Linked DNA regions of Macaca fascicularis. The protein of the gene in region 4 interacts with the protein of the main gene of each other region in a pairwise test. Links are inferred from orthologs where the notes say so. Each region holds a gene or a part of one and is shown on either strand. Other genes may lie near its edges.

The links.
Region 1: the proteins of SPRED1 (region 4) and NCALD interact in binary tests that used the Homo sapiens proteins (3 or more experiments, as listed by UniProt). The link is inferred for Macaca fascicularis from reciprocal best matches to the Homo sapiens genes SPRED1 and NCALD.
Region 2: the proteins of SPRED1 (region 4) and CREB5 interact in binary tests that used the Homo sapiens proteins (3 or more experiments, as listed by UniProt). The link is inferred for Macaca fascicularis from reciprocal best matches to the Homo sapiens genes SPRED1 and CREB5.
Region 3: the proteins of SPRED1 (region 4) and IL16 interact in binary tests that used the Homo sapiens proteins (3 or more experiments, as listed by UniProt). The link is inferred for Macaca fascicularis from reciprocal best matches to the Homo sapiens genes SPRED1 and IL16.
Region 5: the proteins of SPRED1 (region 4) and PIH1D2 interact in binary tests that used the Homo sapiens proteins (3 or more experiments, as listed by UniProt). The link is inferred for Macaca fascicularis from reciprocal best matches to the Homo sapiens genes SPRED1 and PIH1D2.
Region 6: the proteins of SPRED1 (region 4) and HPCAL4 interact in binary tests that used the Homo sapiens proteins (3 or more experiments, as listed by UniProt). The link is inferred for Macaca fascicularis from reciprocal best matches to the Homo sapiens genes SPRED1 and HPCAL4.

What each region holds. Positions count from the first base shown.
Region 1 is NC_088382.1:111,293,645-111,298,443, reverse strand, and holds part of NCALD (neurocalcin-delta), read left to right. Parts: intron 1-1,743; coding exon 1,744-1,849; intron 1,850-4,799. UniProt on the Homo sapiens protein: May be involved in the calcium-dependent regulation of rhodopsin phosphorylation. Binds three calcium ions.
Region 2 is NC_088377.1:101,860,061-101,865,439, reverse strand, and holds the start of CREB5 (cyclic AMP-responsive element-binding protein 5), read left to right. Parts: upstream 1-1,830; 5' UTR 1,831-1,886; intron 1,887-5,379. UniProt on the Homo sapiens protein: Binds to the cAMP response element and activates transcription.
Region 3 is NC_088381.1:58,648,381-58,653,776, forward strand, and holds the start of IL16 (pro-interleukin-16), read left to right. Parts: upstream 1-1,726; 5' UTR 1,727-1,849; coding exon 1,850-1,889; intron 1,890-5,396. UniProt on the Homo sapiens protein: Interleukin-16 stimulates a migratory response in CD4+ lymphocytes, monocytes, and eosinophils. Primes CD4+ T-cells for IL-2 and IL-15 responsiveness. Also induces T-lymphocyte expression of interleukin 2 receptor. Ligand for CD4.
Region 4 is NC_088381.1:14,857,259-14,862,057, forward strand, and holds the end of SPRED1 (sprouty-related, EVH1 domain-containing protein 1), read left to right. Parts: intron 1-1,444; coding exon 1,445-2,095; 3' UTR 2,096-4,473; downstream 4,474-4,799. UniProt on the Homo sapiens protein: Tyrosine kinase substrate that inhibits growth-factor-mediated activation of MAP kinase. Negatively regulates hematopoiesis of bone marrow.
Region 5 is NC_088388.1:111,003,200-111,008,480, reverse strand, and holds the start of PIH1D2 (PIH1 domain-containing protein 2), read left to right. Parts: upstream 1-2,097; 5' UTR 2,098-2,320; exon of another isoform or gene 2,321-2,368; intron 2,369-3,500; 5' UTR 3,501-3,531; coding exon 3,532-3,708; intron 3,709-4,789; coding exon 4,790-4,913; intron 4,914-5,264; coding exon 5,265-5,281. Other genes in the region: uncharacterized protein NKAPD1, read right to left, coding at 659-727.
Region 6 is NC_088375.1:195,215,385-195,220,137, forward strand, and holds the end of HPCAL4 (hippocalcin-like protein 4), read left to right. Parts: intron 1-838; 5' UTR 839-846; coding exon 847-1,008; intron 1,009-1,276; coding exon 1,277-1,492; intron 1,493-2,787; coding exon 2,788-2,985; 3' UTR 2,986-3,747; downstream 3,748-4,753. UniProt on the Homo sapiens protein: May be involved in the calcium-dependent regulation of rhodopsin phosphorylation.

The DNA.
Region 1 (4,799 bases), on a different chromosome or scaffold from region 4:
GCTTACCCCAGGGACACTCATAATCCTAGACAGCACCCTAACTCTGTGCTTTACCTCCCAGAACAAGTCGCCGCGGAGTCAGCTCTGGAGTTCAGTAACCACGTTGGGTGGGTTTGAGACAGACTCAGGGGGCCTGTCCAGAGGCGTCCCTGAGGGATGGGATCAGCCTAAGGGCCAGAACACTGGGTGAGTCCGTTTTCATTCTTATTTGGACTGAGATTAGAGTACTCACCCTACTTTATCCAGAACGCGTAAGGGACTTCTGGCAGGGTTGGTCCTGAGCAAGACTGTAAAGCAACTCGGTTGAACCTTCAGTGTCTTTTTCTGCTCCCGCCTTTCCCATTTGGAGGTGACTCCCCACAGCTGCTTTCCTTTCTCTGTCCTCTCCACCTGCCTGGCTGCCCCTAGAGCTCCAGAACTTTCTGAAATTTTCTGCCTACTCCCTGTCAAAATTTATTTTTTCTAAAACTTGTCCCCAAGACTAAGATGCCCAAAGTGACTCTGATTAGGAAAGTCATGATCTGGGGATAAAAACAATGACTTTTCATTCCTCTTCCCAAATAAAAACTACCTTCGACCACAGAGGCCTTTGGGCCCTTGCTGAGTCCCATGTGGAGGTCACAGGCAGTGGGGTGATAGTTTCAGTAGTGCTTACAAAACTCCACAGAATCCTCTTTCGCCCATCAGATGTCATAGCTGTACCTAGTTTAGCTCAGGCCTGAGGTTGTGTAATAATTCAGAGCTCTGATGGCAGGTGGTTTCCATCTCAGAACTACCTGGGAGCTTGCTGAGAAGGAACGTGAGACCATTGTCACACACAGGGGGAAAAGCACTGGAATGGACTGGAAGTCTGCCTGGGGGGAACATATGGCACACACTTACAGAGTGTCACATGTCTGTCATCCTTGAGGGGTCATTGTGGACTCTCAAGGGTCCGTGATAGGCATCCACTTACCTCTCTAGCCTGAGGAATGTCATCTGCAGCCTTGCTCCTCAAAGTGGGGACCTTACCTCTCAAAGCAGGGTCTTTAGAACAGCAGCATCAGCATCACACCGGAGCTCATTAAAAATACAGACTCTCAGCCCCGCCCCTTCCCCCAGCACTACCCAATCAGATTCTGCATTTTAACAGGATTCCCAGGGGATTTGTGTGCACATGAACAATGGAGATGGCTAGGAGAGGTAGCTTATGTCTGTAATCCCAGCACTTTGGGAGACAGAGGTAGGAGAAGCTTGAGCCCAGGGGTTTGAGACCAGCTTGGGCAACATAGTGAGACCTCGTCTCTCCAAAAATAAATAAATAAATAAATAAATATATAAATATATAATTTTTTAAAATTAGCCGTGTGTGGTAAGGAGTACCTCTAGTCCCAGCTGCTTGGGAGGCTGAGGTGGGAGGATTGCTTGAGCCTGTGAGATGGAGCCTGCAGTGAGCTGGGAGTGTGCCACTACACTCCAGCCTGGGTGACAGAATGAGAGACCCTATCTCAAAAAACAAACAAAAAACACTGGAGACACAGGGTCTTCCTGCTGGTTGTCCCTCCTGAAGGTCCTCACGGGAGGAGAACAAGCTTTGTGGGCCTAGCTTCTTCTACCTGTGCCGCCACATCTTATACCAATCAGCAGGGATAGGACTAGGTCCAATGCGGATGGGGACATTCCCTTCAACCCGCATTTGGGAGGTTTAATGATTGTGTGCCATACCGTTTTTCTGTCTTACCACCATGTTGCTTCTGTCCCCAGGCAATCTATAAGATGGTTTCCTCCGTAATGAAAATGCCTGAAGATGAGTCAACCCCAGAGAAAAGAACAGAAAAGATCTTCCGCCAGATGGACACCAATAGAGATGGTAGGAGGCGGGGGCTGCACTGCTTAGCTCAGATGAGGGTTGCTGGAAGGACTGGGGAGTCCATACTGGGAAGTGCCACTTGAGGTCCTTCATGCGAGTGGCTCATCCTCCAAGCCTCCCGAGTGGGTAGGAGGGGAGAGGACCAGGTGGCCACAGGAGAACTGAGCCCAGAATTGTGGGAAATGCCTTATTTCTAGTCTTTTCTATCCTCCTTGTAGGTCAACTTCTACCTCCAAGAAAATAGAATGGATCTTGTGGGGCAAGAATGAAAGGACCCAAGAAACCATTGTTAGCACAGACCCATCCTTGGGACAGGCTTAGGCCACAGCAGGCTGGGGCCCTGCAGTCCAGGTCATCAAAATGGGGAGAGGGTTGTTATTCTGTTGTTCTACCCAGGTGCTGACAGCCTTCACTCCAGCCTGCCGAAGGGGTTTTGTTGGAGTCTCCTGTGCATGCACTGAGATGTTGTGTTTCCCAGAGACAGTGGGCTCCCACAGTCACTGGGGTGCCAGGGCTAGTGGTGAGGGAGTAAGGTGCCCAGCAGGTTCCCACCCGGATGGTGCCACCCACAATTCAAACCTAACAAAGTGAAAAAGAGAGTTGAATTTCAAACTTAACAGAAGGATTTTGGATCTTAAATTGCCAGAGAGAATACAGAAGGCCCAATTATCCTTGAATTTCAGATAAACAGCAAACAATTGTTAGGATTAGTATGCCAAACTAAAAAAGTCACTTGCTGTTTATCTGAAATTCAAAGTTAACGGGGCGTCCTGTATTTAATTTGCCAGATCTGGCAACGCTATTTAAATGTTATACTTGAGTGAAAAGCGCTGAGCTCAGGGCCAGGCTCTGTAGCTCTTGCTGTTATTATCAGCTCACCCGATCTGTTCAGAGGCCCTGGCAATTCTTGTCAACCATGTGCACATGCACTTGGGCCCCCACCTGGCGCTGATCTACAGAACAATAGAAGCCTTCGCCATAGAGAGAGCCTCTGTCTCTTTTTATCCCCCGCCCAGGTAGAGCTGCCTGAGAATCTGGGTTTGTGTGGTATGGGCCAATCTGCTTGCTTTGTTTCCTCCACAAAGGTGCCATTCCATTTTGAAACATCCTATGTCCCTTTATTTGCTTTGATTTACAATGAATAGTTGTGACTAAACAAGCATGGGATTATTTTAATTAACTTGTTGATATTAAACTGCAGATTTTACTGGTACTCAAAAGCACAATGGGTTTGTGCTGTGCTCTAGGTCCGGACACCTCTTTAGGATAGGGCTAAAGGATGGGAGAAGATCAGATGTCACAGGATAAAGCCCTAACTCTGTGTTGATCGTAGGCAATGAATTAGGCTCTCTCCATTGGTTCTTTGCTGCTGTAGGATCACAGAGCCCTGATTGAGTTAGCATTCTCAGAGCACAACTCACTGCTAAAGACCTGTGCCCTTCTAAGGGAAAACCTTGTGTTTAAAATTAAATTAAATTTTCAAAGGTTAGGGTTGGGGGAGGAGGGTGGGAGCCATAGAAGGAAGGAGGAAGAGGGACTGTAAGTTCACAACTCTCAGAGAAATCTTAGCCCAACCAGGGGATGGGGTGCTTCAGCTCAGTGCTTGGCTACTGGACCCCAGAATTATGGCCACCTGCACCCCTCCCTGTCTAGAGCAGAGCAGACCTCACCTAGAGTCTCCTACCCTTAGATTTAGCTTACCTGATGCTCTTGGGAACTAACCTCTGGCCTCTGATTCGAAGAGAAAAATCTGGGCCCACAGGCAAGTTCTCCTAGGAACCAACTCTGAAGCATGCAGACAGTTAACTGAAGAAAGCCAGATATCATGCCGAGCTCCAGGTCTGCCCCTGCTACCTCCAGCTGGTGCCTCCCAGAGCCGACCTCTGAGAGATTGCAAAGTGTTCGGAGACCACACCAGTCTCCCTTCTGTCATGCCTTGCCAAGCTGGAGGAAGTCATCACCATTTTAACTACTGTGGACAGGGCAGGACTCATAAAAAATGGCCAGAACACAAAGCTTGGCGGGGATCAGCTCTACAAATTAAAAATAAATTAATAAATACATCCCTATGTTTTTCCTTCATGGAGATAAAGTGGGTTTCGTTAAACAAGAACTAGGTTCTGGTGGGGAGGGAATTGTGGCTGAGGAGAAGATATGTTTGTTGGTGTTTCTGTTGGGGGAGGCCCCCTCCTGTCAGGTTTGGAATAAGTTGGAAAATAAAAGAGGACAGAGGTCAAAAGAGAGAGAGACACTGGAGGCTATGGCTTAGCGTGAGAGTCCAAGGGCGTGCTGAAAAACCCACAGGCGTGCAGAGCCAGGCAGGCCAGGTGCTGCCCTTGGAGGAGCAGATGGAAATAAATCCTCTCTCGTGCAGCTCCTTCCAAGAGAAAAAGGGAGGGCAAGGCTGGGCGAAGATGCCTGGCAATTCCTCCCAAATTTACCAATCTAGCATGTCACTTCACTCCCAGGGGCGAGGTAGGCAAACAGGAAGGGTCCTTCTGGAAGCACCAGGAATGGGGAAAGCCTTGCAGTCCCCCCAACTCCTACCCCACCGCCCCCTCCTCTCCTCAAGTGACAGAAGGGCCTTCCTGGAAAAGAATTCCATACGTGCCCCAGCGTGTGCAGAAAGGAAAGGTCACCGGGGTCTGAGTGGGAGCCCAGGCTGCTGAGCCTCCCTCCTCCAGCCATCAGGGTAGCAGGAGAGCACCCTAACGGAGAGGCAGAAACCCATGGGTTACCCTCCGCCTTGAACACATACCCTGCTCTTCCCCTGACCTCAGATGGAGGCACAACTGTCTTCCCGTGGTGTTTGTATAAACAAACACTTATGTCCACGACTTCTTCCCCAAGATAGGATGGGCTCTTGCAGCAAACCTAAGAACACAGAGTGGCGTGAAGAACACGAAGTGGCTCAGAAGGCTCCGGGGAACATCATGGGAACCAACTGGGT
Region 2 (5,379 bases), on a different chromosome or scaffold from region 4:
TTGCTTCCTTCCATAAAGGAAATGTCATATTTCAAGTTTTATTGGTTAAGGTTCAGCTTAGGACTGGAGCCCTTCTTTTGTCGTTCCTTCAGGACTACATGTGGAAAACACTAAGTAGAAAACTCAGTGATGAACTCTGAATAAGGCTGTGAGGATCAAACAGTCATCAGTCCCTGTGGTTTCAAGGAACACTAAAGGGCAAGGGGCCATTTAAACACTTAAAAACAGAAATAACATGCTAAGCTCTTCCATTTAGTATGTCAAAACCAGCTCAGAAGTATGTGACAATCCAGGCAATGTATTACAGTTTCTAGCCAGTCCAGTCATGATTCTCTGGCAAACTGCACCGTCATGGTTGTGATGCGTTGGGATGAGAGGTACTATATAAATGTCAGATGTTACATAAATGTCAGAAATGATTATTGTTTATTAACGGGGGCTAAACTGTTTCTAAGCAAAGCTCCAACTCCCAGCCAATGTGTTCTTAGCAGAGGTTCCAACCACCAATAACCCACAAGAAGGGAATGTTTACCCCTGGCTCTATGAAGGAGCCCAGTTGGGATCTGGGCTTGAAAACAGGGATTGAGGTGGGCCCAGTGCCACCCCTTGCTCATCAAGTGATCTCAGGCCAGCCCCCTAACCTTCTGGTGTCTGCCTTAGCTCACCTGTAAAATGGGGATAATTATAATACCTGTCCTACTTATGGTACCCGGGTTGTTGTGAGAAACAAGGGAATTCACGTGGTTGCAAATGCTTTGTAAGGTGTGAGGGGCTGCGAGGTTGGCACTGGTCGTCTAGAATCGGGCTGGATTTAGTCTATGCCTTCTCTTTGAATCCTACTCAAAGGGAGAACTTCTGAAAGGAAATTCAGCAGGGGAATGGTGACAGTGATGGTGACGGCCGGATGCTGGAGACGCCAGGCTCCTCTCGCTGCAGACCAGGCGCCCGGATCCTGCAGTCTGGCCCTGGCTCTGCCGCTTCCCAGCCCGTGAGCTTGGGCCAGTTACCGAAGAGGCTCTGGAAGTGACAGCCAAGGGCCCTTTCAGCTCTGACGCCGTGTCTAAATCAGGCTCATCACTTGGCTCTAGCTGTGATTCACCTTTCGCCTTAGGAGCAACTCTCCCTACAGCTTCTCAGACGCACGAAGCAGGGGTCCCGCGAAGGGTGGGGGCTGTGTATTTCATGAGAGTGTGCACCATAAGGAAGTTATTCTCCTGGAGGAGGTGAGATGGGGGGCGGTGAAGAAGGGGTGACAAGTGAGTGCTCTGAGAAGCCAGGATGCAGGGAACACTGAAATGAGGTCATGACTGTCGCAAGCAAAAAGGAGCTGGACATCCTCATTGGGGGAGGGAGGAGCGTCCTGCATTTCTGTTTGCAAAGCCTCTTCCCACATCCTTCAGCATCCCCCTCCCCACCTCTCCCCTAACCCCCATCCCTACACCTTTCAAACCCCATCAGGCCCTCCCCGCAGAACAGCCCACGCCCGCGCCTCCTCCGTGGTCCTGTCTGAAACCATAAGGATTGTTTCCAAGCTGACTCACACCACTAATGTCAGGGAGCCGTGTCACACGGCGCTGGGCTCTGCAAGCTGTTGCTTGCGCAGTCGCCCCCGCCGCTGCCGCTCCCCGGCGGGTGCACCAGGGTCCGCGCGGGCGGGGCGGGGTCTGGGCGGGGCCGGGGTGGGGCCTGCCCCCTCGACGCGCCGGCCCCGCCCCTCGCTCTGTCCCTCCCCAGCGGACCGCAATGATTTAGAAGTTCAGGAATCCCACGTGACGTCACCGGGGGGGTGATGTAATGCACTCTAAATAGAATGTATTGTAATCTTTGCTCAGTCCAACGTGGTCCCTTCACCCGGGCTCCGCTCTTGCCTTCTCCACACTTGTTTGGTAAGTTCCTAAAAATACGGCTCGGCCACTTCTGGGGCTTTTGCATTTAGCCACTTTTGTTGCACTTGCCGCGGGAGCCATCTCGGGAGCGTACTTGTTTGCAGGGGTTGGTTCTCGGCAGCAGCCGCGAGGTTACTTGGTCCAGTGGGCAGGTCACAGGGCAAGGAGTAGGGAAGATGCGATGCATTTTTTTCTGGAGGGTGATCTGTGTTTGTAAACATTTTGGCGGACCAGAGGGAAGTCCGGCCCCGAGTGCTGGTAGACTGTGGAATTCGGCTGTGTCCTGAGGCCACCCCAGAGACCCCGCGCCGAGTGAGTGCCGGAGCGCTCGGTGGCCGCCGCGCCGCGCGCCTGGAGGGATGCTAACGTGGAGCCGGCGCCGAGTCCGCCCGGCGTGCGTGCGTGTGTGGGAGCGCGCGAGTCCCCTGACGCGGGGACCAGTTATGAATCGGGGGTGTGTGTTTGCCTCCAGAGACCTGGCAAGGTGCGGAGTCCTCCAGAAGTGCGGTCAAGCGGCAGCGGAGACGGCGAGCCAGGAACCTCCCCCCGCGTCCCCAGCTTCCCAGCGTGGCGGCGGAATCCCCGGAGAAAGTTTGCAAACTTCCAGCGGGCGCGGCGAGGACTCCGGGTCACCTAGGGGGCGGGTGGGCGCGCGCGCAGGGGGCTCGCTCTCCCCGGTGCGGAGCTGCCGCTGCCACTTCTCCCTTGGGGCTGCTGGCTGCAGTGGGTTGGCGCGCGCCCGGGGAGGGAAGGTCGCCCTTGGAGGGCGCTTGGCTTTCGCTCCAGGCACTCCGGGCTGGAGAGCGGCGAGGCTCCGTCCGCTCCCGTCCACTCCTCCGGCCGCCTCCTGCCTCCGCTGCTTTCTCGCTGGCATCATTACCTCTTCCCGGCCGCTGCCCCAAATGACAGCTCCGGCTCGAGCCTTGGCGGCGCCCAGGCAATTCCCAGGACCCGGCGGCGGAGTCTCCCCCTGCGGCAGATTCTCGGCAGAACCACTTGAACTTTTCGTGAAGTTCTTAGAGGGGCAAGATGCGAAGGAAGGAACCAAGGAGATGTTTTCTCTCAGCAGCTGCATCCACTTCTTTGCCATAGAGTTGTTTTTAAGGGACGTCTAGTAGATAAAGCCCCAGACCTTGTCCACACTCTCATCCCCGTCCCCAACTTTCCCTGGACCGGTGCCGCCCCCACTTGATGCTTGTTCAAGGCCGGGGTCTGGAGCGGGCTACTTGTATGTTTCGTTGTCAGTCTGCAGAATGTGTTTGATTTTTATTTTTCCCTCCTTCTCTGACATGTGTCAAGGAATAAAGGCTGGATACAGGTCCATTACGTCATTCTGCAGGCCAGTAAGTGTTTGATTAACGGCTTGAGCTCCTCAAGGGTTCAGGAGCTTAGAATGCTGACAAAGCAACTCTGCTGTGCATCCCCCTACCCTCCTCACAACACACTCGTGCAATCGCCCCCTCCCTAGGCATCTTTATTGCCCTCTCTTCCCAACCCCTCCCTCTCCACCACTCCCCCGTCTACACCGTTATCACTCTAGCCCCGGCCCCGCCTTTTACAGCTTTCCCTGGAGCGAGCACAGTCCCTGGAGTGTGGGTAAAAGCTTCTGGGGTCTGAGGGGACCACTGTACCTGATCAGCGCGCAATCTGCCCTTTTGTATTATTTAAGAAAGGCACCAGCAAGCCTTCTCCTCTAGAGCGAAAATGCTTAGTCCTGATAGAAAAGGCAAATCAGGAAATGTTTCCAAGCGTTATGATAATACTCTGTCCTCGTGGTGGTGACTTAGGAAGGCAATACACCCACTGCAAACAAAGTACTTCACTTTACGTAGTGCCTGCCCTTCAGCAGAAGAGGGAAGACGAAGAAGCCAGGATGCTGACAAAATCAGGTTTAGCTGAAAGGATCAAGACTAAACGTTTCATTTCCAAAGTAAGGGAATATGAGTTGTTGAACCTAAACTTCCATACAATAAATTGGTGTGTGCGTTAGTTTCTAGCTTTTAACCTTAAGTTTCTATGTTGAAAGAGGAAGTTCAATACGTAAGTCATTGAATTGAGTCAGAACCTCCGTATCTGGCAGTTGAAATAAAGACCCTGTGTATGACTTGTTGCAAGGGATCAAAGTAAAAAGAACTCTTGGCGGGGGGGTGGGGGAGGGAAATGTGCAGAAATTAAATTATAAAAGTATTAACAGAGTTTTGGATAGAGCGGGAGAGGGAATTGGAGTGGTTCCTGATTTGGAGTTGGTGAAAACTAAATAAAGAAATATTTATATTGCCAATATGAGGAATTTCTTGAAGAACACATGTTTTCTTATAATTAGATCTACTTTCTTCAAAGTGAAAGCCATGCTGTAGGGTAGACATTTGTGAAACTCCTGTCTGGGGTCTAATTGACATACTTCCCCAAGTTTGTGGCAGGATTTAGTATTTATTCACATCTAGAGATGAAATAGTGTAACCTCCACACAATATGTGTGCATCGAAAATGTTGAACTTCTTGTTTGTGATGCATAGACTTAAAGGAAAAAAAAAATGGCCCAGTCATGGGCACTGGAAAGTGTGATTAATGATCAGTGATTTAGTGATCAGTGATTAGTGGTTTTATTCAAACTGTTACCTCTGACCAGAAGCACACATCAGAGGATTAACAGGCTCTTTAGATAAATGCTCATTAGTGGAAGGGGAAAAGCAAAGATAATAGGCATGCACCCAGGGACAACTTTCGAAGAAAATCATTCCCGTCTTCAGAATAATAAGCTCTATTAACAGAAAGCCCTTTTAATTTAAAACTTGCTTTTATCTTGTAAATCAAAGTTAGATGTAAAAGTTTGTAGTGCCATTATAACCTAAATTTTCCCATATCCACTAGATGTGGATTATCTCAGTAGCGATATTTTTTTTTTTATTTAAATAAACAATTGGACCTTTAGAGCAGCTGAACCCTGACAAGTTCTTAACTCCCAGGGTTTGAAAGTGTCCCCCCTTCTAGCATGGAGATTGCAGCTTGCTAACTAGATGGCGCACTGTTATTTGGTGTTCTCTGCTGCGTAGTGCAGGAGTAGAAACTGAGCATGTAGCTGCTTGCGAGGTGTTCTTCAACATTTACAACAAAGTTGATTCTGTGTAGGGTTGGAGGCTAGACAGTTCTACAAATTTTTAGTCACATTTTCCATGTCAGTTAAATCTAGGGAGTTCAAGGCTACTGGAAAAATTAGTCTCATTACTAAAAGAAACTTAGAGAACGAGGGAGGTACCAGAGTCTAGGAGGTACCTCTGGGTTGCAGAAGTAATTGTAAAATACCAGACCTGTTCTTTTTACTAAGAGCTAGTTTCACAGTCTTCTGGTCTGAAATACTGAGGCAAATACTCAAGACTTATTTTCTTCCTAATCTTGCTGGTGAAACAGAAGTTACTAGAAAGAAAGGAAGAAAAACCTTGATTTGGTGACTGCAGGAAGCAACACGTTGCTGCTTTTATTCTACAGATAATGG
Region 3 (5,396 bases), about 44 Mb from region 4:
ACACGCCACCACACTAAGCTAATTTATGTATTTTTAGTAGAAACGGGGTTTCGCCATGTTGGCCAGGCTGGTCTTGAACTCCTGACCTCAGGTGATCCACCCACCTCGGCCTCCTAAAGTGCGGAGATTACAGACGTGGGCCATGGTGTCCGGCCTCACATCATCTTAATATCTGCAGAGTATTCCCAGAATTTGTCTAGCCTATTGCCTGTCGTTGCTGCCGTTGGGTACCACTAACATGCAAGGCCAGTTTCTGGCCCTCACAGTGCTCCTGGCACAGCTGCAGCATCCTGCAGTTTCAGAGTCTGGGCAGTTCATTCAATAATCAGAGTAAGGAAGGGCCACGAAGTGCCAGTGTGGGGTCCCCACCTTCACCCAGGGGTGATGATGGCTCTCAGGGAGCTGTTCTGACTCCAGGTGCTGATAGCAGAGTTTCTCTGGCAACCTGTAGCACTGCCTTGAGAAATGATTATCTAAAGCATGTTTGCATGGGGGTGAGGGGTGCGGAGGGAATAGGAAAGTCACAGTGTCTCGGCAGTGGATTGAGCAGAGTGATGGTGATGCCAGTGGCCATGATTCTTTGGAGCCCTGAGTGGTAGCAGAGGCACCACGGCAGGGGGTCCATCCCAAAAACACCTGGGGCCCTTGGCTGGTGACAGATAACTCAGGGACTAGACCAGGATCTGTCTCACTTGCTTTCCTGGTAAGTTTTTCTCTCTCTATCAAACAGAGCAGGCTTTCCCTTCCATTCAGTCTCACATTGCTATGTCCAGAAAATCATCACACTCTTCCACTAGAGGGGTGGATATTACTTTCTCAGGTTTCAGTTCTGTTTGCCCACTCACTGTATATTCTTTTGGTCTTTCCAACGGTGATCCAAGGATTTATTTAACCCAGCGGTCAAATTGGTCATTTTAAATAATAGTACATCTTGTCCAAGTCCAAAAATAAAATGTCCTGGTATGAGAAGGCAAGCAGAGGAAATTGGATAGAGTAGGCTGAAAACATTTTACAGCACCATTACCCAGAGCCCAAATCCCTTTTTCATTTATCCCTTTTTTGTCCTGGCATGGCAGGAGTCAGAGCGCCTTCTGTTTGTGTTGATTAAAGTCTGCCTCCACCTTCCCCCGAGCCCAGTTGCCCTTCTCAGGACACAGGCTGCATTCACCATGGGTCTCTCTGCCCAAGCTCTTTGCAGATTTTATGAAAGGCGTTTTCACTTGGATTAAACAGGCACTGTGTTTGTGTGTGGTGTGTGTGAAGGAGAAAATGAATCACTTCAACTTTGGGCAAGGATTTTAGGTGTTGTGTTTGTCCCATGCAATTACATAAACACACCAGAACTCATTAAAAAAAAAAAAAAAAAAAAAAAACACAGTAGAAGAGAGGGGCAGAGATTCAAGTGCTTGCGATGATCTAAACAGTGCGGCACATTTTCCATACATTAGACCTCAGAAAGGGTTGTGTTCTGCCCTCTCACAACAGACTCCAAGTCCAAAGGAAAGTTTGAGGTTTTACATTTCTGTTTGTGGTACAGGAAAAGGCTTATGATCTGAGGGCTTGATTCAGTGAAATAACATTGCCTTTATACACATTTGCTTCTCAAGGAGGGCAGGAGTTGGAAACGACCGTTGTGAAACGTTAAAGATTTTCTGGCAGAGGGAAAGGGATTTTTTTTTCTCCCTCCCTGCCGAGGAAAAAAACAGTTGTAACGAGGAGTTACTTTGTAGTTTTAACTCATATTCAAATACTCCCAGTCGAGAAGCTGCCATCGACCCTCCCATGGACCCCTGATCCTGGTTTGGAGGAACTTTTGACAACTCTCTCTCCCTCCTTCAAACCCTGTGTGATGAGTTTGCAGAAGAGAGTCTTCCCGAGAAGGCAGAACGGTGAGTGGAGCTGCTTCTCCTATCCCAGGGGACTCAGGGGAGGTTGGAATGCAGGGGTGGACCCTTCCTGACGACCTCCCAGGGGAGTGGAAGCATGGTTTTGGCCACACTGTGTAGTATATGAGTGAGTGTGTCAGTGGTGTGTGTGCTCACATGTAAGTGTGTGGGGGCACACATGTGTGCTGCAGTAGGACACAATGCCTGTCTTTGCAGAGGCTGGCTGAATGCTTACCATGTGCTTGGCAGAGAGTTCAGGAAGGGCAATTGCAGGACCCCCCAGGGATGAGAGTGAACCCTGGCCAGGGCAGTGGCTTTCCGTGTGCCCTGGCTTCCTCTTCATGGGGCAGAGGCATCAGTGTCTAAAACGCTGTAGCTGTCAGGGTCCCCACCAGCTCCGCTCCAGTTTCAGCAGAAGCAGAGCGGAAGAGGGAGCTGCTCAGCTCCGGGAGAAGTGAACGGAGCGCAGGTCTCTGGAGAAGATCTGAGAACTGGGAGGGGCCTCCATCCAGACCCCCTACCTTCCTGCAGGTACAGCCCAATAGATGAGAGCATTTCTTATTACGATCTTCTTCCTTTGCTCTGGAAACATAAACAGGCATCAGAGCAAAACGTTTTAACCCTTCTGCCCAACTTTTAAAGTTAACACTGGCGAAACTTCAGGTCCGTTGCAACTTTGGCATAAGAGTTTTCCTTAAAAAGGAGAAGTAAGCAAGTCAAAGGCATATTCTGACTTTTCTAGCTCCAGAAAGACATGGCTGGAACCCTGGCATCCGCTTGCTTAGGCTGCATTAAGGCATCTGCTGAAGTCTGAAGAAAGGCAGTGGGGTATAGGGAATAAGAACCTGGGCCATGGGGCGTGGCCACCTGGGATGGAATCTTGGCTCTGAAGGTAACAGGCTCCTTTATCTGGGAAAAGGTTTTCAAAGGCTCACTTTCCTCCTTTGCAAAACGGTGGTCATAAATTCTTACCTCACAGGAAGGCAGAAACAATAACTAAGATAAAGTATGTGAAATGACCCAAATGGCATGTACATATTCAGAGGACATGTCAGCTCTCCTAAGCAGGCTGCTCCCCTGTTCTGAAACAGCAACCATCATAGATATACAGGCTTGAGGATGAAGAAAAGAGTACTTGAGGGCCCAAAGTAGCCCTGGCTCTTTGTGTAGCAGAAAGTGGGGTGAGCATTCAGGTGGTCTCCCTTTGGAGGCAGACGACATGGATGCATTTACTTCCACTGGGGATCTTTGAGGCTGGGACTTGACCTGGTGTTTACTAGGTGCTCAGTGTTTGGTGAAACCATTTTATTCACTCTGATTCACGGGGAGGTCTTACCACTTCCTACCCTGGCTGCACTGCCTTTGGTTGCGTTTCCCTGGTAACAGATGGTGAGACAGAGATTTGCACATACAAAGTTCATTGGTGTGTGCTCTGGGAACAACACCAGTGTGGGGTGAGGGAGGCGGAATCAGACAGATGGAGAAGTTGGGCTGTGATGCAGTTGCAACACCGGCCTCAGCAGATCCAGGGGATCCTGTGGGGTTTTGTATCCCTGCAGTGACCAGTCATTGCTTGTGGGCTGCCCCTGGAACCCAGGCATAACCTTGGGCGAGGCAGCTGTCTTTGGCTGAAGGTAGTTTCTGGAGAGGGACTCAGTTGTGAGTTGTCACAGACAACCCTATGCCAGCTGTGGGAATGAACGCCTCGGCCCAGGGTTGAGGAGCTTATCTGGGCGATGCCCCATCATCTACTCAATACATTTGATGCAGTCCCTTCTTTTCTCTGAGTTAGGCTGTTAGAAGATTGGGCATTCACATGCAGGGACACCTGTCCAGTTAAATCCTTGCATAGCAGTGTGACTTTGGATAAGCCCCTTTCCATATCTGGGACTCAGTGTCCCCGTCTATAAAGTGGATGGAAGGGTGTTGGACTAGAGATGGCCCCTAACAACACTCCAGCTCTGCTATTTCACATATGCAGATTCTGAGCATGTGGCCATGGTGGTTGGATGTGTCCTTAATAATAGTTGGGTCCTGTGGTCTCCACCGTAGGTGCCTTGACTCCTGCTGGGAAATATGAATCGAGATACCTGGGGATCCTTGGGACTTGGCCAGCTGTCAGCAAGGAGGGGCTGGGCCTGTGGGAAGCAGAGGGAGGCTCTGCGTAGGGCTGGAGGGTGGGGCATAGGGTTTGAGGAGGATTCTGCTGCACACCTTCCCCCACACTCCCACAACATTTCTCCCCCCTCAAAAAAAGTAAAACCACATGAGACACTGCCATATGTCTTTGATAGTTAAGAGCTATGTAATGTTGCCCGGGACAAACTTGGATGTAGTTTTATTACTCTCTGTCTCCTCCTAATTTCCTATTTACTTTTCAATATACAAAGAGTGAAATCACTTTCCCAAACACTTGGAATTCATTTTCATTGCTTTTTTTCTTTTCTTTTCTCTTTCTTTTTTTGAGACAGGATCTCATCTGTCGCCCAGGCTAGAGTGCAGTGGCGTGATCATGGCTTACTATGGCCTCAACCTCCTGGGTTCAAGGAGTTCTCCCACCTCAGCCTCCTTAGTAGCTGAGACTACAGGAGTGTGCCACTATGCCTGGCTAAATTTTATTTTTTTTGTAGAGATGGAGTCTTCCTATGTTGCTCAGGCTGGTGGGCCACTATGCCCAGCCTGGAATTTATTTCCAATAAATTTATTTAGAATATTCTATGCTTCAAGCACTGTGCTGGGCTCTGGGGATCTAATGGGACACATTAAATAAACAACTGTATGCACATAAATATAACGGCAAAGAGGGTTAAGTTCTATGGGAGGCTGTACCAGGGGAACTGGCCTAGTCTGGCAGATCAGTGTGGGGCTTCCCTGAGGAGGTGCTATTTGAGTTGCTTTCTGAAGGGCGTGTGGGAGTTATGCTGGGGCAGGGATGGAGAAGCAAACAGGCGAACTGTAGAATAGGGATGGGAAAAGAAACGTGTTTCAAATCTTACCAGCTTAACCTAGACACTGAGTTTTATAAGGGTACATCCATCCAGTCTGTTTTTCTTGCAGCATCTTAAAAAAATTATGGTGACCTGTTAGCTAAGGGAATAAGAGCTTTTTGCTGGTGGGGCAAGGTTCTGCCTGTGTATCAGCCAGTTGTCTCTGTTCTCCACATCTGGATCTGGCAGCCAATCCCTGAGTGTGCATCTGTCATTACGAGGGGCCTTGCCCTGAACCCTGGAAACCCTCAGTAATAGCAGCAGCTCCCTCTTCCTGAGTGCTTTCAGCATTAGGCATTGATTTAGGACCATCCTTCATGAGCACTGACTCATTTGACCTTACCTACAGTGCTGTGGGGTACATGCTGCTGTCTTTACTTCACAGGTGAACCAAAATGAGACACAGGGAGTTCAACCAGGTGATGAGTGGCAGGACAGATTTGAACGCAGGCGAGTCTATTACATTCTAATGCCTGTACTCTTGGCAAGCAGTATGCAGCTGAAAAAGCACAGTGAGCCTTCT
Region 4 (4,799 bases):
TTTAATGTTCTGCCCTCTGGGCCCGCTGGAATGGTAGCCCCACCCTCTCAGCTATAGGTGTCAGCATTGCCCCCAGGGCTCTGGGCTGCTAAAGCCTGGCCCACTGACACTGAGGAATTGACCCCACCCTCTGGAACTGCCTGCCTTCAGGCTCATTCTTCCCTTTTCTTGAAAGATAGTCATATTTCACATTACTTCCTTGGCCCGTCCTGTAGAATTCCAGAAGTCCAACAGTCTTCCTTCATTTTGTCCTGACTCTGTCCCCTTCAATCCAGATTGACAGCATTTCGTTTTACCGTATGATTGTCCAACCACACCCTAGATATTCTCTCTGAACATGCTTTCTCATTTTATTGCAAATGGATAGACGTAGAACGTATCAAATCTTCATGTTCTCTTCCTTTTTGCTTAACAGTTTCTTCTTTCAATTTCTCTCTCTCCTCTCGAATGTTACTATAAGCAGCAAGGAAAAACTAGACTACACCTTCAACACTTTGCTTAGAAATATCTGCTAAATATTTAGGTTAATCACTCACAAGTTCTACTTTCCAAAAAACACAAGAACACAATTTAGCCAGGTTATTTGCTGCTTTATAACACAGGTTGCCTTCCTTCCAGTGTCCAAAACATGTTCTTCATTTCCGTCTGAGATCTTACCAGAGTCACTTTTAAAGTCCATATTTAGAAGCAACAGTCTCTTCAAGGCTCTTTCTAACATGCATCTCAAAATACTTTCCACCTCTACCCATTACCCAGTTCCAAAACCATTTCCACATTTTTAGGTATTTGTTAGAGTGACACCGCACTTTGACTAATACTGACACTAAAATCAGTATTAGTCAAGGTTTTCCAGAGTAGAACCAACAGGATAGATGGATGGATGGACGGATGGACGGACGGACGGATGGACGGACGGACGGATGGACGGACGGGCGGGCATATGGACAGACAGATGGGCAGGCGTACGGACAGACAGATGGGCGGGCGGACGGAGGGATGGATGGAGGGAGGGACGGACGGACGGACGGACGGAGGGACTGACAGAGGGACGGGCGGACGGATTTTATTTTAAGGAAATGGCTCATGCAATAGTAGAGGTACAGATCCAAAACCTGCAGGGTAGGCTGTCCTGGAGACCCAAGAAATAGTTGTAGTCTGAGTCCAGAGGCACCCTGCTGGCAAAATTTCTTCTTGCTCAGGGGGAGCTCAGCCTTAGTTCTAGTAAAGCCTTCAGTGGATTTCATGAGGTCCACCTACATCACAGAAGGTACTGTGCTTTGCTCAGAGTCCACCAATTGAAATGTAGATCTCATCCCAAAAACATATCATGGAAACATCCAGAATAATATTTGAACAAATATCTGGACACTGTGGCCCCACCAAGGTGACACATAAAATTAAGCATCATAGCCCTCATTGCAGTTTTTATCTGTTTCTTTTTTAGGTCCCTTTAAAATCAATCAGACATGTCAGCTTTCAAGATGAGGATGAGATTGTCAGAATAAACCCTCGAGATATCTTAATACGTCGCTATGCAGACTACAGACATCCTGACATGTGGAAAAATGACTTGGAAAGAGATGATGCTGATTCCAGTATTCAGTTTTCTAAACCAGACAGTAAAAAATCAGACTATCTGTACTCTTGTGGGGAGGAGACTAAGTTAAGTTCACCTAAAGACTCTGTGGTATTTAAGACGCAGCCTTCCTCATTAAAAATTAAGAAGTCAAAACGAAGAAAAGAGGACGGTGAACGTTCTCGCTGCGTATACTGCCAGGAAAGGTTTAATCATGAAGAAAATGTCAGGGGAAAATGTCAGGATGCTCCAGACCCTATTAAAAGATGCATATATCAAGTTAGTTGCATGCTCTGTGCAGAGAGCATGTTGTATCATTGTATGTCAGACTCAGAGGGAGATTTTTCTGATCCCTGTTCGTGTGACACTAGCGACGACAAGTTCTGCTTGCGATGGTTAGCCCTGGTAGCTTTGTCTTTCATTGTACCATGTATGTGCTGCTACGTCCCTTTGAGAATGTGCCATCGCTGTGGTGAGGCATGTGGTTGCTGTGGTGGGAAACATAAAGCTGCTGGATGAAATGGTCCAGTGCCAAAATGAGCTTAAAATCTTTGTTTCCAGGAATTAGCTAACTTGGATTTGTGGAAGCTTTTGGCAAGCAATATGGAATCTTGCCTGGTATCACTGGGGCCACACATGGAGGAAGCAGAACTCATCAGTTCTTGGCGTTTCACGCCATGCCTAACTTTTCCCTTGAGTGCATGGCGTATTTTGTTACAGGTTGTAGAGTATTTGCAGAAGGAAACCATTTCTGGTTATTTGGCTATAAAAAGTCAGCATAAAATATGATCCAACTAAAAGGGATTAATTTTTTGGCATTTTTGTATATTTATGCATTAGGTGATGGGACTTTTAAAGGTTTGAATTTATTAGGACATGAACTAAAAATAAAAGTGCACTAGGGGACAGTTGATTTCAATTTAAGAAAAGTTAACACTTGGCAATTACAAGAAGTGAAACAAGTGCAACTAAATCATTTATTAGTTGTTTTTTGAAAGCAGTTTTATGTATAAATAACAAATGTTTATATTTAACTAAATGTAAGGTACGAATTATTACATATTAAACTTTTCTTCCCCTTCCTAGTTCTGAAGTAGATATATATATATGTATATCTACTGTCACATTCCATATATTTTGAATATTTAACTCATCTAGTTAATAATGTTTTTATTCCATGTGAATGATTTGATATTGTCATCCTTATTTCTCTTTGGCTACAATTTATATTGAGTTATATCTGTACATTCTGGTAATCTAAAATCCTTAAAAATACTCTAATAGCCTTGAGTGACCAACTTTTTTGTTAAAGCACAGATGTAATTGTCTAATGTTTTGATGGGAACGTAACACTTATTTTTATATAAAAAGACTGAGTAAACAAACATAGAAAAAAAGTGAAGTTTTTTAGTTGTTTTTGTGGTATTCAACCAGCAAGTTGTTTTCTTTCAGAGTTTCCTCCTTCAAAAAATTATATTGCATTTACAAATGTTTTACAAGGCAGAAAGTTTGACTGGATAGTCAGTGTAAAAGCTTCCTCTTGAGATCTTCATTTATCATTCTGCTAAACCAGAATATGTTCAGCTGTGTTACTAATTTTTTAGCTTAATCCTCAGTGCTTATTATTTACATAACAATGATAACTTTTTATCAGTTACATTTTATTTTTATTTAAACTGGCCAAAAGCAAAATTATTTTATGTTAAAATGTGTGCTAAACTATCCCAGGAAAGTATTTAATCCAACATTGTAAATGAAGTATCTTGTACATATAAATGTATTTCTTTTGCAGAGCATTATATTACTGGATGTTTAATTTACAAAATAGTTGGATAAATGTTCCAACAAACCTTAAAGTACCTTGAAGTCAGATTGTCTGTTTTTGTTTTTGTTGTTGTTTTCTTAAGTGTTACATTAAAACTCTAACCAAGGAAAGGGTTCTTTAAGAACATTCCCTTAGAGGGATAAAGTTGAGAAGTGTGCCTTTTTTTTAATGGCTTGAAGTTTCAGAGGTGATAAAAATTAAAATCACACTACCATTTGAAGCTCATTTTCTATGCAGGTTTTTAAACATCATTTATGTATCGTTCTTTTTATATATCACACTTAAGCTTGTGTTAGCTTTTTTCTTTTGCCCCAGATCAAATGGAACAATGTATATAACACTATCTGTCTGTAAAATACTTTTTTTAAGAAAGCATTTATATTTATATGACAGCTTGAACTGACAACATTGTGTATATAGATCATCTTGAAGTATTATTTCACATTGAAAAGAAGAAAAATATATTGATAACTATAGATGTTATGAAGAAGAGGGTATTTCTAGTTTTGTACTAAAAATCAATTGGATGAACTAAATCCAAAACATGACACTGTAGCAGCAGTTTTAAGTCTTATTTTTACTGTTTATATATTTGAATGCTGCTACAACAGATGATCTTCATCCCTGAAGTTTTCAGCTAAGCTTGGTTTCCTAGAATAGACTGTTAACTTTCAAAATTTTTATTGGTGAAATGGAAATACTGTTTTTCCTTGTGAATGAATTTTCATATTTGTAAGTGCTAAGTTTATAATTCAGGTTTGATCAAGGTGTGAATTACTGAAGAAAATAACTTGCTGGCTCTATAGGAAAATGCTGTGGAAATGAACTGTGTATATACTTCTGGGAGGAACAAATTTAATCATTTCTTCTGTTAAGCACTAATCAGTATAGTGCAACTCCTGGTTCTGTACTGTATTTTATATGCAACATATATGCTTTAATATTTTAATGTTTGTGCATTAATATTTTCAATTTGTTTAACCACTTTGCTGCTAAGATTTTGCCGTCCCATTCCCATTTTTTCCTTTACAATTTTAAACAAGTTTCTTCATTAAAAACTATGGTGATGAAATGGTTTTTATTTTACCTTGGATCTTTATAGTTAACATACCCAGTTTCTAAATCAGTCTACAAGACTAACTGATGATATAATGTTCTCTGAATCCCTATGTGGAAATTTTCTTTTGAGTAAATTAGAATTCCTTTGTGAAAGCAAATGGGTAGTTTAAATCACTGATTCTTAAACATGTGTATAGGCACCTTCAGGAACATTTTCTCATTCTCTGTACAGATTCAGCACTGCCAGTTGGCTTTTCCTCTAAAACTTTTCTTTGTTTTTGTCTGATATAAGCAGATGGCTCAAGACAGCTGCTTCAGTAATAGGATTGAAAATGGAAT
Region 5 (5,281 bases), on a different chromosome or scaffold from region 4:
ATTGCCTCCTAATTAATCTCCCTATTGTTTCTCCCCATCTGATTCATTCCCCACCCATCTGACAAACCATCTTTCTAAAATATAACTATGATCATGTCACATCCTGTTTAAAAACATTTGATGGCTTCTTTACTGCCTAGAGGAAAAAGTCTCAGTTCCAAACATCACAATCCAACTCTAATGACCACTGAGGCCTTATCTTCTGCGCCTATCCCTTCATTCCCCGCTTTCTGGAAAATTTCTTGCCATGCCCTGAGTGATTAATGCTCTTTTTTGTTGCCATATTAATGCATGATGCTCTCTATCCAGAATGATCTTTCATACCTAGTAAGCTTATACTTATTCAAGAACCAGTTTAAATGTCAGCAGCTCAAATACCACTAATTCTGTAAAATCTTTTCTAATTCCCCGGGGTAGATTTTATTATTTCCTCCTTAGTGCTCCAAAGCACTTTGCAAATATCTCTGTTATACAGTACTTATCAAACTGTATTATAATTATCTATTGTATTCATCATTTTATTTCCTACTTTGTACAAAAGCTTTCAAAGACTAGATGACAAGAATATTCTTTGTATCTCCCAGTTGTGCCAAAATAATGCTTGGCACACTGCTTACTTTCAGTAAGCACTGAGGAGTAACTAGGTTGTACCTCCCACCTTATTGTGAGCATCTGTGTGCCGGATGACATTCCTCAGGAGAACTTTCCCCAGTGGAATCCGGGACATTCTTCAATCTGAAATGAATCAACAAATAACGTTTAGTAATAATTTATTTTATTACTTTATCTTTTCTTAAATTTTATAAAGAAGCATGAGGTAAAGGAAAGATCACTGAACTAGAAGTCAAAGATCCTAAATAATAGTTTTCCCTTTACCATTAAAAGAGGGAAATGCCTAAACACACTAATGTGAGATGAAAGGAGATAATGTACATTAAAGTTCTTTGAAAATGCACAAGACTGCATAAAATTAAGTGCTTTCATGAGCACCATTTTATTTAATCCTCATAACTATTTTTTATATGAGGCAAATATCTCCATCCCTATTTTGTAGATGAAGTTCCCTTAAACTTGTCATGCCCCAAGCCACATAGTCCCAGGCAAATGATGTATATCAATGTCTAGATTAAAAATCAAACCTCCAATCCCAATATTAGTTTGCAGTGAAGCAAATACGTAGATTTGAGAGTATCAGGAACCACAGGTGTCAACAGTAACAGAAACTGATGACTCAAAACATCAAATGCAAAGATGTCCTAAACTTCTCCATTTGGGAGCATTTTATTTCCTACTTGGTACGGAAGCTTCCAAAAACTAGATGACAAGAATATTTTCGTGTGTAGCTAGCACGGGCTTTGTGCAACCACCCCAACGCTCACTCACCCCTTGATCCTGAGGAAATCAGGCATCTTGTTAGTGAGACGAAGAACCACTCCATTACAAGATCTCCTCCGACCCAGGAAGCCAAGGAGTCAGGGCTCAAAGGCAGCTCTGCAGCTTCACCCGAGTCCTTCGTGAAAACGCAGCCTTCCCACTGGTTAATCTGCCCTCACCTGTGGCCCAGGCCACTGCCGCCTTTCCCCCAGCCCAGATCGACAGGCAGATCTCTCTCGCGGACTGAGGCCGGAGACTGAGCCGGCGCGGAATTCGGACAGCCCGGTTGACCCGGGCATTCCCCCCTCACGCTCCTCTGGGACGAACCCCGGGGGTAAGTTTCACTCCCCAGAAAGGATGGGAACGCTTTGGATGGCTATGGCCTTCGGTTGGGCGCCAGGAAGTATCTAGGGGGCCTGAAGCGGGGGTTGAGGTTTCCAAGTGGAAGACAGAGGAAATATCCCCATCTTTGTCACCGGGATCCCTGTCCCCCAGCGGCCTCGGAGCTCCCGGTAACCTCCCCTCCAAACGCCCTCCCCACACAAATACACACAAACACACCCATACCGTGCGCCGCTGCCTCGCGTGGCGGGGGGTAGGGGGGAAGAAGCGGTTTGGGAGAAAAAGGAGGAGACTTCCTTCTCAGGCCGGAAGTGGTGCTCCTGAGAAATAGTCCCACCAACAGGCAGCCCAGAGACTCCCAGAAGGGAGGGTTTTCAGGACACTCCAGAGGTTGACGGGTGCAGAAGGGAGGCGGGCGCTTTCCTGGAAGAGAAGTGGATCGGGCCCAACTGAAAAGCAAGCCTGGTACCAGAAGGGGGACATTCCGGAACTAGATATGAGGAGACTTTTCTGCCTGAAACTCCCCGGACCCAATTAGATGTTGTACCCAGGCTGGTTACCCTGGTAACAGGCGTCGCGGTTTGTCAAGGAGCTGAGAGAAGAGGTGGGTTTGCCAGCCTATAGAATGACTACCCGTTAGAACAGAGAAGAGGTGGGTTTGCAGACCTATGGAATGATTACCCGTTAGTTAAGCTTCCCATTTAGCGTAACCCTTACACAGTAGTTGAAGAATCTAAACCTTTTTGCCTCGTTCTAAAGATGCTGTGGGACACCTCTCCAATGGGAGAAGAGGCTCTGAAGACGTAGAGAAGTGTCCCAGCCTCTCTATTAGCTTCCTTAATCCTCGCAATAACCCTATGATAATATAGGTATTATCGTCTTCATTTTGAACAGAGTAAGAGGAATATATATATATGTATATGTATGTGTATGTGTATACACACACACACACACACACACACACACACACACACACACACACATTAATTGCTCAAGGTCATACAGCTAGTGAGAGATAGAACTAAGACCGGAATCTAGGCATTCTGGCTCGCAAGTCCATGCTTTGAATTACTAAACTATAATGAGGATTAAGGAAGTCTCATGTGGCCCTCACCCCATACACACCTCTGGCAATTTCAGAACTGGGGAGCCACCAGTCAGTGAGGTGTTGGAACAAGAAGATCAGGAAACCCAGATTTAAAATGATTGCTCTGACTTGTCAGGGTCCAAGTAGAAGTAAAGTCTTATCTGAGAGGACAATGTGAGAATTTAGGAAGAGGTACTAGATAATTAAAGAATAAGGAAAACATAAAGTGGTGCTGCTGATCCACAATCTTTTAGACACAAATGCTAAGTCCTAACTTCACCAAAACAATTCCTGGCCCATTCCGCCTCCCCAAAGCAGAAATGAATCAACAATTACACAGGGCCGGGCGTGGTGGCTCAAGCCTGTAATCCCAGCACTTTGGGAGGCCGAGACGGGCGGATCACAAGGTCAGGAGATCCAGACCATCCTGGCTAACACGGGGAAACCCCGTCTCTACTGAAAAATACAAAAAACTAGCCGGGCGAGGCGGCGGGCGCCTGTAGTCCCAGCTACTTGGGAGGCTGAGGCAGGAGAATGGCATAAACCCGGGAGGCGGAGCTTGCAGTGAGCTGAGATCCGGCCACTGCACTCCAGCCTGGGCGGCAGAGCGAGACTCCGTCTCAAAAAAAAAAAAAAAAAAAAAAAAAAAAAAAAATTACACAGACAGTTTTCTTCCCAAAGTCATGTCTTTCCACAGGCTTAAGAAAATTATTCACCACTCATCAGTCATGGAGACATCCTCAAAGGGTCTGCTCACCCAAGTTACTCAATTTTGGAACCTCCTAGATGATCTAGCTGAAAGTGACCCTGAGGGCTATGAGAAGTTTATTCAACAGCAGCTGAAAGAAGGGAAACAGCTCTGTGCTGACCCACAACCACAGCTTTGTCTACAGACCAGGATTCTGGTATGTCGAGTTGGTGCCAGGGATGGGGAGGTCTTGAATAAAATGATCCCAGAGTAACCACAGAATACTTTGCACTTAGGCATTGCTTTTTTTTTTTTTTTTTTTTTTGAGACAGAGTTTTGCTCTGTCACCCAGGCTGGAGTGCAATGGCATGGTCTTGGCTCACTGCAACCTCCGCCTCCTGGGTTCAAGCGATTCTCCTGCCTCAGGCTCCCAAGTAGCTGGGATTACAGGTGTGCACTACCATGCCTGGCTAATTTTTGTATTATTAGTAAAGACAGGGTTTCACCATGTTGGCCAGGCTGGTCTTGAACTCCTGACCTCAGGTGATCTACCCGCCTCAGCCTCCCAAAGTGCTGTGATTATAGGCATGAGCCACCGCGCCCAGCGGACTTTTTTTTTTTTTTTTTTTTTTTTTTTTGAGATAGGGTTTTGCTGTCGCTGAAGCTGGAGTGCAGTGGCACAATCACAGCTCACAATCACAGTTCATTGCAGCCCAAACGATCCTTCCACCTCAGCCTCCCAAGTAGCTGGGATCACAGGTGGGCACCACCACACCTGGCTAATTTTTAAATTATTTTTGTAGAGACAGGATCTCCCTATGTTTCCCAGGCTAGTCTCGAACTCCTAGGCCTCAAGCGACCCTCCTACCTCGGCCTCTCAAAGTACTAGGGTAACATACGTGAGCCACCACCCTGGTCTGGTTTCCTGATTAAAAGCCAGCAACCTTGGGGAAATCAAGTAACAACAGTATAATCAAACACAATTTTAATACCTAGGCTGCAGTGCAATGGCACAATCTTGGCTCACTGCAATCTCTGCCTCCTGGGTTCAAGCGATTCTCCTGCCTCAGCCTCCTGAGTAGCTGGGATTATCTGCCACCACACCTGGCGGACTTTTGTATTTTTAGTAGAAATGGGGTTTCACCATGTTGGCCAGGCTGGTCTCAAATTCCTGACCTCAGGTGATCCAGGCACCTCGGCCCCCACAAAGTGCTGGGATTACAGGCATGAGCCACCATGCCTGGCCTTAAATGGTTTTAAACTAGGTTTTGAGATGTGCAAAATTATTTGCTTTCCAGAAACCAAAAGAAAAAATACTTTTTATCAACCTGTGTCAGTGGACAAGGATCCCACCTCCCCAATCAGCCACTCATCCAGTACCTCTAACTGTTGGCAAACCAGAAGATACAACTGAGACATCAGGTACAAATAATTAAGGGAGAGAAAGCACATTGTACAAATTTTATTAGGAATGGACAAGATTTTACTTGGTTGAGAGCATTTCAAGTAAAATTCTTTATTTGGTGATAACAGAATTACAATTAGTGTACCTTTATGCAAATTTAATAGTTTAACTTTTGTAATAAGATGCGGTTTTAATCCATGTAAAAGTGCCAGGAAATGTCATAATTGCTGTAGCACTACTGTGATTACCTCTGAAAAATACAGGAATATTCTCTAGCTTTATCAGGAATATGGTTTAATATATTGCCTGACAGTATCATTAGTGCAACAATTTATCTTCATTTCATACCCTTTCATTTACACACACAGATGCTTACACGGTCATT
Region 6 (4,753 bases), on a different chromosome or scaffold from region 4:
AGAAATTCTAAAACATATACCTTTTCTTGGGTCCCCAGTGACTCGTTCAAGACTGGGCATATCATAAGCATTCTGTAAATATTGTGGAATGAATGCAATCTTCCCAGTCCTTGCTTTAAAAAATTCCAGGAGCGTCTGTTCCCTCCAAATTTCTTGGCATGGGTTGGAGGTCCTTTGTAACCAACCATCTGCCTCTTTGACCCAGTTACAAGTTATTGAAGGTTGGCTCATGTCTGCTTCATCTCCATCACTGGCACAGGGCCTAGCACACAGTCAGTCTCAATAAATGCTCAGGGAATGAATGGATTAATGAGAAGCCAAATGTCAGTAGAGGATTTCTACTTGTACAGAGAAAAGAGGGAGAGAAGCTCCCTACTGGGGTGGCCCAAGAAAGTCTTGAGGTAGAAATTGGGAGACAGTGCCAGGGGGACACACAAGGAACCTGCCTCAGGTCCCTTCTCAGGACAGAAGCCTGCCAAGGAGGGTGGGGGCTGACTGCAGAAAGCCCAAAATGGCAAGGAGAGGAGTCAAGGTCTTAGTCTGTGGGCATGGGAGCCATGGAAGGTGTGAGCCGGAGGGGAGAGGATGAAGACTGTGGAGTGCTGCACGGTTAGTGAGAAGGAGAACTGAGACCTGGAAGGCGGGAGACCTGGGGGACCAAGAGAGGAAACCTGCCTGAATGCAGGTGTTGTGAGGGGAGAGAAGGCCCAATTATGGGGGAGTGTCACGAGGGGAAGGAACCTGCAGCCCCACCCTGTGTGTGGCAGGGGAGGGGGCAGCTGTGGCTGAGGCAGGGCCTTGCCCTGGACCCAGTCGGAGGAAGCCCTCTGTCCCGCAGTCCCCGCCATGGGGAAGACCAACAGCAAGCTGGCCCCCGAGGTGCTGGAGGACCTGGTTCAGAACACTGAGTTCAGCGAGCAGGAGCTGAAGCAGTGGTACAAGGGCTTTCTGAAGGACTGCCCCAGCGGCATCCTCAACCTGGAGGAGTTCCAGCAGCTCTACATCAAGGTGGGCGGCCGGCACCTGGGGTGGCGGGAACCAGGTACCCGGGGTGGGAGAGGCAGGGCACCCTGGGGTGAGCGCAGGCGAGGCACCCGGGGTGGGAGGAGGCGAGGCAACCAGGGTGGGAGGGGAGGCGAGGCACCTGGGGTGCGGGGGAGGTGAGGCACCCGGAGTGGGAGGAGGCGAGGCACCCGGGGTGCAGGGGAGGTTCCCTGGGGTGGCGGCGGGCTGGGCGGAGCTGTTGCTGCGCCCTAACCCGCCGCACTCCCCTCAGTTCTTCCCCTACGGCGACGCCTCCAAGTTCGCGCAGCACGCTTTCCGCACCTTCGACAAGAACGGCGACGGCACCATCGACTTCCGGGAGTTCATCTGCGCCCTGTCGGTCACCTCCCGCGGCAGCTTCGAGCAGAAGCTCAACTGGGCCTTTGAGATGTACGACCTGGACGGCGACGGGCGCATCACGCGCCTGGAGATGCTGGAGATCATCGAGGTGCGGGGCCGCGTGGGCGCTGCTATCCCCGAGGCCAGCGCTTCGCCGCCCCCGCCCCTGCCTCCGCGCTGCTCTCGGTCCTCGGGGCTTTCCCGCTGCTTCCAAGCCTGCGATCCAGCCTCCTACCACCCCGCGGGGGACCGCAGGCCCGGGCTAAATGCTTTACCCGACACTCGACGGGGGGTGGTGGTTACTGTCCCAAACCCCATTTGGCAGAGGAGGAAACGGTCGCGGGTGGTGGTTCCTGAAACCAATCCAGGGAGTCTGACCTCATAGCAGATGTTTTTAACTCATTCTGTCAACAGGCAGGGATTGAGGGCCTGCCAGTTCCTGCTTTCATGGGGCATTCCTTCTAGTAAGAAATTTAAAAAAAAATAAATGAAGGAAGACATGCGGGGTCAGGCCTTAGGTGCTATGAGGAAGATACATTAAGCAAAGTGCGGGGAGAGAGCATGATGGAGAAGTGACTTTGTAAAAGGTGGAAAGTTAGCAGCAGCCTGAACGGGGTGAGGCCGTTACTGCTAGATGCCTGGGGGAGAGCGTTCCATGCTGAAGGGCAATTAAGGCAGGTCGGCCTTTCTCTGCAGCGTTCAAGGAGGGGCCAGGAGGCCCGGTGGTGGGAGAGCCACGAGAGGGAGAGAGTGACAGGAAGGTGGTCATACGGGGAGCCAGGAGCCCCATCAGTCAGGTCTCCTAGTTAGGAAACTTCCATGAAGTTGGGTTTCTGGCATGTTTCATCTACATAAATATTATTTAGTCTAAATAAAAAATGAGTTGGGGGCTGGGTGCGGTGGCTCACTCCTGTAGTCCTAGCACTTTGGGAGGCTGAGGCCGGTGGATTACCTGAGGTCATGAGTTTGAGACCAACCTGGTCAACGTGGTGAAACTCCATCTGTACTAAAAATACAAAAATTAGCCGGACGTGTTGGTGCGCTCCTGTAATCCCAGCTACTCGGGAGGCTGAGGCAGGAGAATCGCTTGAACCCGGGAGGCAGAGGTTGTGGTGAACCGAGATCATGCCATTGCACTCCAGCCTGGGCAACAAGATCGAAACTCTGTCAAAAAAAAAAAAAAAAAGGAAAAAGAAAAGAAAAAAGAGTTGCTCATTAAATATCCATATCCAGTCTTAATGACCACATATACCTTCCATTATCCTAACCACCCCCCAGTGTTCTCCTTGCCAGATCCCTTTCCTTCACCCCCTGCTTCTCAGGGCCCCTTGTAGGTGTTTGCACCTCCCCCCTTCTCAGGGCCCCTTGTGGGTGTTCACACCTCCCTCCTCCTTCCCTCACCAGGCGATCTACAAGATGGTGGGCACCGTGATCATGATGCGCATGAACCAGGACGGGCTCACGCCCCAGCAGCGTGTGGACAAGATCTTCAAGAAGATGGACCAGGATAAGGACGACCAGATTACACTGGAGGAGTTCAAGGAGGCAGCCAAGAGTGACCCATCCATTGTGTTGCTGCTGCAGTGTGACATGCAGAAGTAGAAGCTGGTGAGGGGCAGGGTCCCTGGCCAGAAGGAGCATGGCCACCTCCCAACCTGATGACCTTTCTGGCTGGCCTCCCAGGAGGAGGGACACTCCACCCCCCTCTCTGGCCCACCCAGTCCTCTGCCCAAGCCCCTCCTCCCCTCCATCAGGATCCCTGAGGGACCACCTTACCCTGCAAAAGAGACAGGTCCTCCGGTATCCTGTCTTCTAGCCCCACCTCACACTTGGCACAGAACCAGCGTCCATTGGGCATAGGGGAGTTGGCTTTTGCCCCAGGAGCTGAGGTTAAGGAGTTGGGGGCTTGGGGTTCTGGTTCAAAATTCTCTTGATCCTGGGATTATGCTTTATAGAATGTGGTCCCACCGGCCTGTCACAGGGCCAAATTGGGTCTGTCCACTCCTGAGGCTCCAGATCCCATAAAGGTGGTCTCTTCCCCATTCCTTCTACTCTACCTGGCCCTTCCAGCCCCAGCCTTTGGAGCGTTCATTCAGTCCTTTCTTCAGCTAGTGATTATTGAGCACCTGTTCGGTGCTAAGGATATGGTCGTTTACAAGACACATCTTGTGCCCTCTGGAAGCTCATAGGGTTGTGAGGCAAACTTCCAGCTGTCAGGGTCTCAGCTGAGCAGAGGGTGCTGGAAAGCTGGTTAGTCTGGGAGGAGCTATTTCATCTTCCAGCTCAGCTCCACACAAAGCTGCAGAAGGACGAAATGAAAAGCATTTGGAAGTTGAGCCACGTGAGTGAAAGTTTTAAGAAAAATGAAATTTATGTAATACTTATTTTTTTAGTACCCTTTAAAGGAGCTACAGTCATTTTATTATTTCAGGAGGTTTAAATATACTCTATATTACTTGGTTTCTTATAAAATGATTAAATGAATAGAGAAAATATTAATTTTTAAGGGGAAAAAAACTGAGAAAAAAGGGAGAAAAGACCATGAAATTTACCAGATAACACTTTTTCAGACTAAGTCCTGAGCTGCCACGCTCAGCAGTTTTTGCTGCTTCAGCTCTTCCTTTTTATTACCTTTTTCAATTCGACAAGCAACTTTCTATTACATACTTACTCAGGTTGGATGCTGACTTCAGAGACAGGAAAAAACAAGGTTTGCAAAGAGTGAGACAAGTGTATATCCCGAATCTTGGTAGTTCTTTTTTTTTTTTTTTTTTTTTTTTTTTTTGAGACGGAGTCTCACGCTGTTGCCCAGGCTGGAGTGCAGTGGCGCGATCTCGGCTCACTGCAAGCTCCGCCTCCCGGGTTCCCGCCATTCTCCTGCCTCAGCCTCCTGAGTAGCTGGGACTACAGGCGCCCGCCACCGCGCCCGGCTAATTTTTTGTATTTTTAGTAGAGACGGGGTTTCACTGTGGTCTCGATCTCCTGACCTTGTGATCCGCCCGCCTCGGCCTCCCAAAGTGCTGGGATTACAGGCTTGAGCCACCGCGCCCGGCCCCGAATCTTGGTAGTTCGTTTCTGAATTTGGTTTAGTTTCAGAACCGGACTTGTTCCTTCACTGCCACAGAATCAGAAGGAGCTCGAAGAAAAGGCTCACCTGGCCACTGTTTAGGCACCCAGACAGAATTTATGGACCAAATGCCTAAAAATGTGCCAGGCATGCTCCGTTCGAAAGGCTTTTTCTAACCCCAAATCTTAGATCTGCCAGGTAGTTCATCATCTTCCAAGTGCGCTGGCTCTGCTTTCCAATGCCTGCTTTCCAATTTTGGATCCATGAGCTATACAGCTGCATGCTTCGACTGCCAGAAAAATT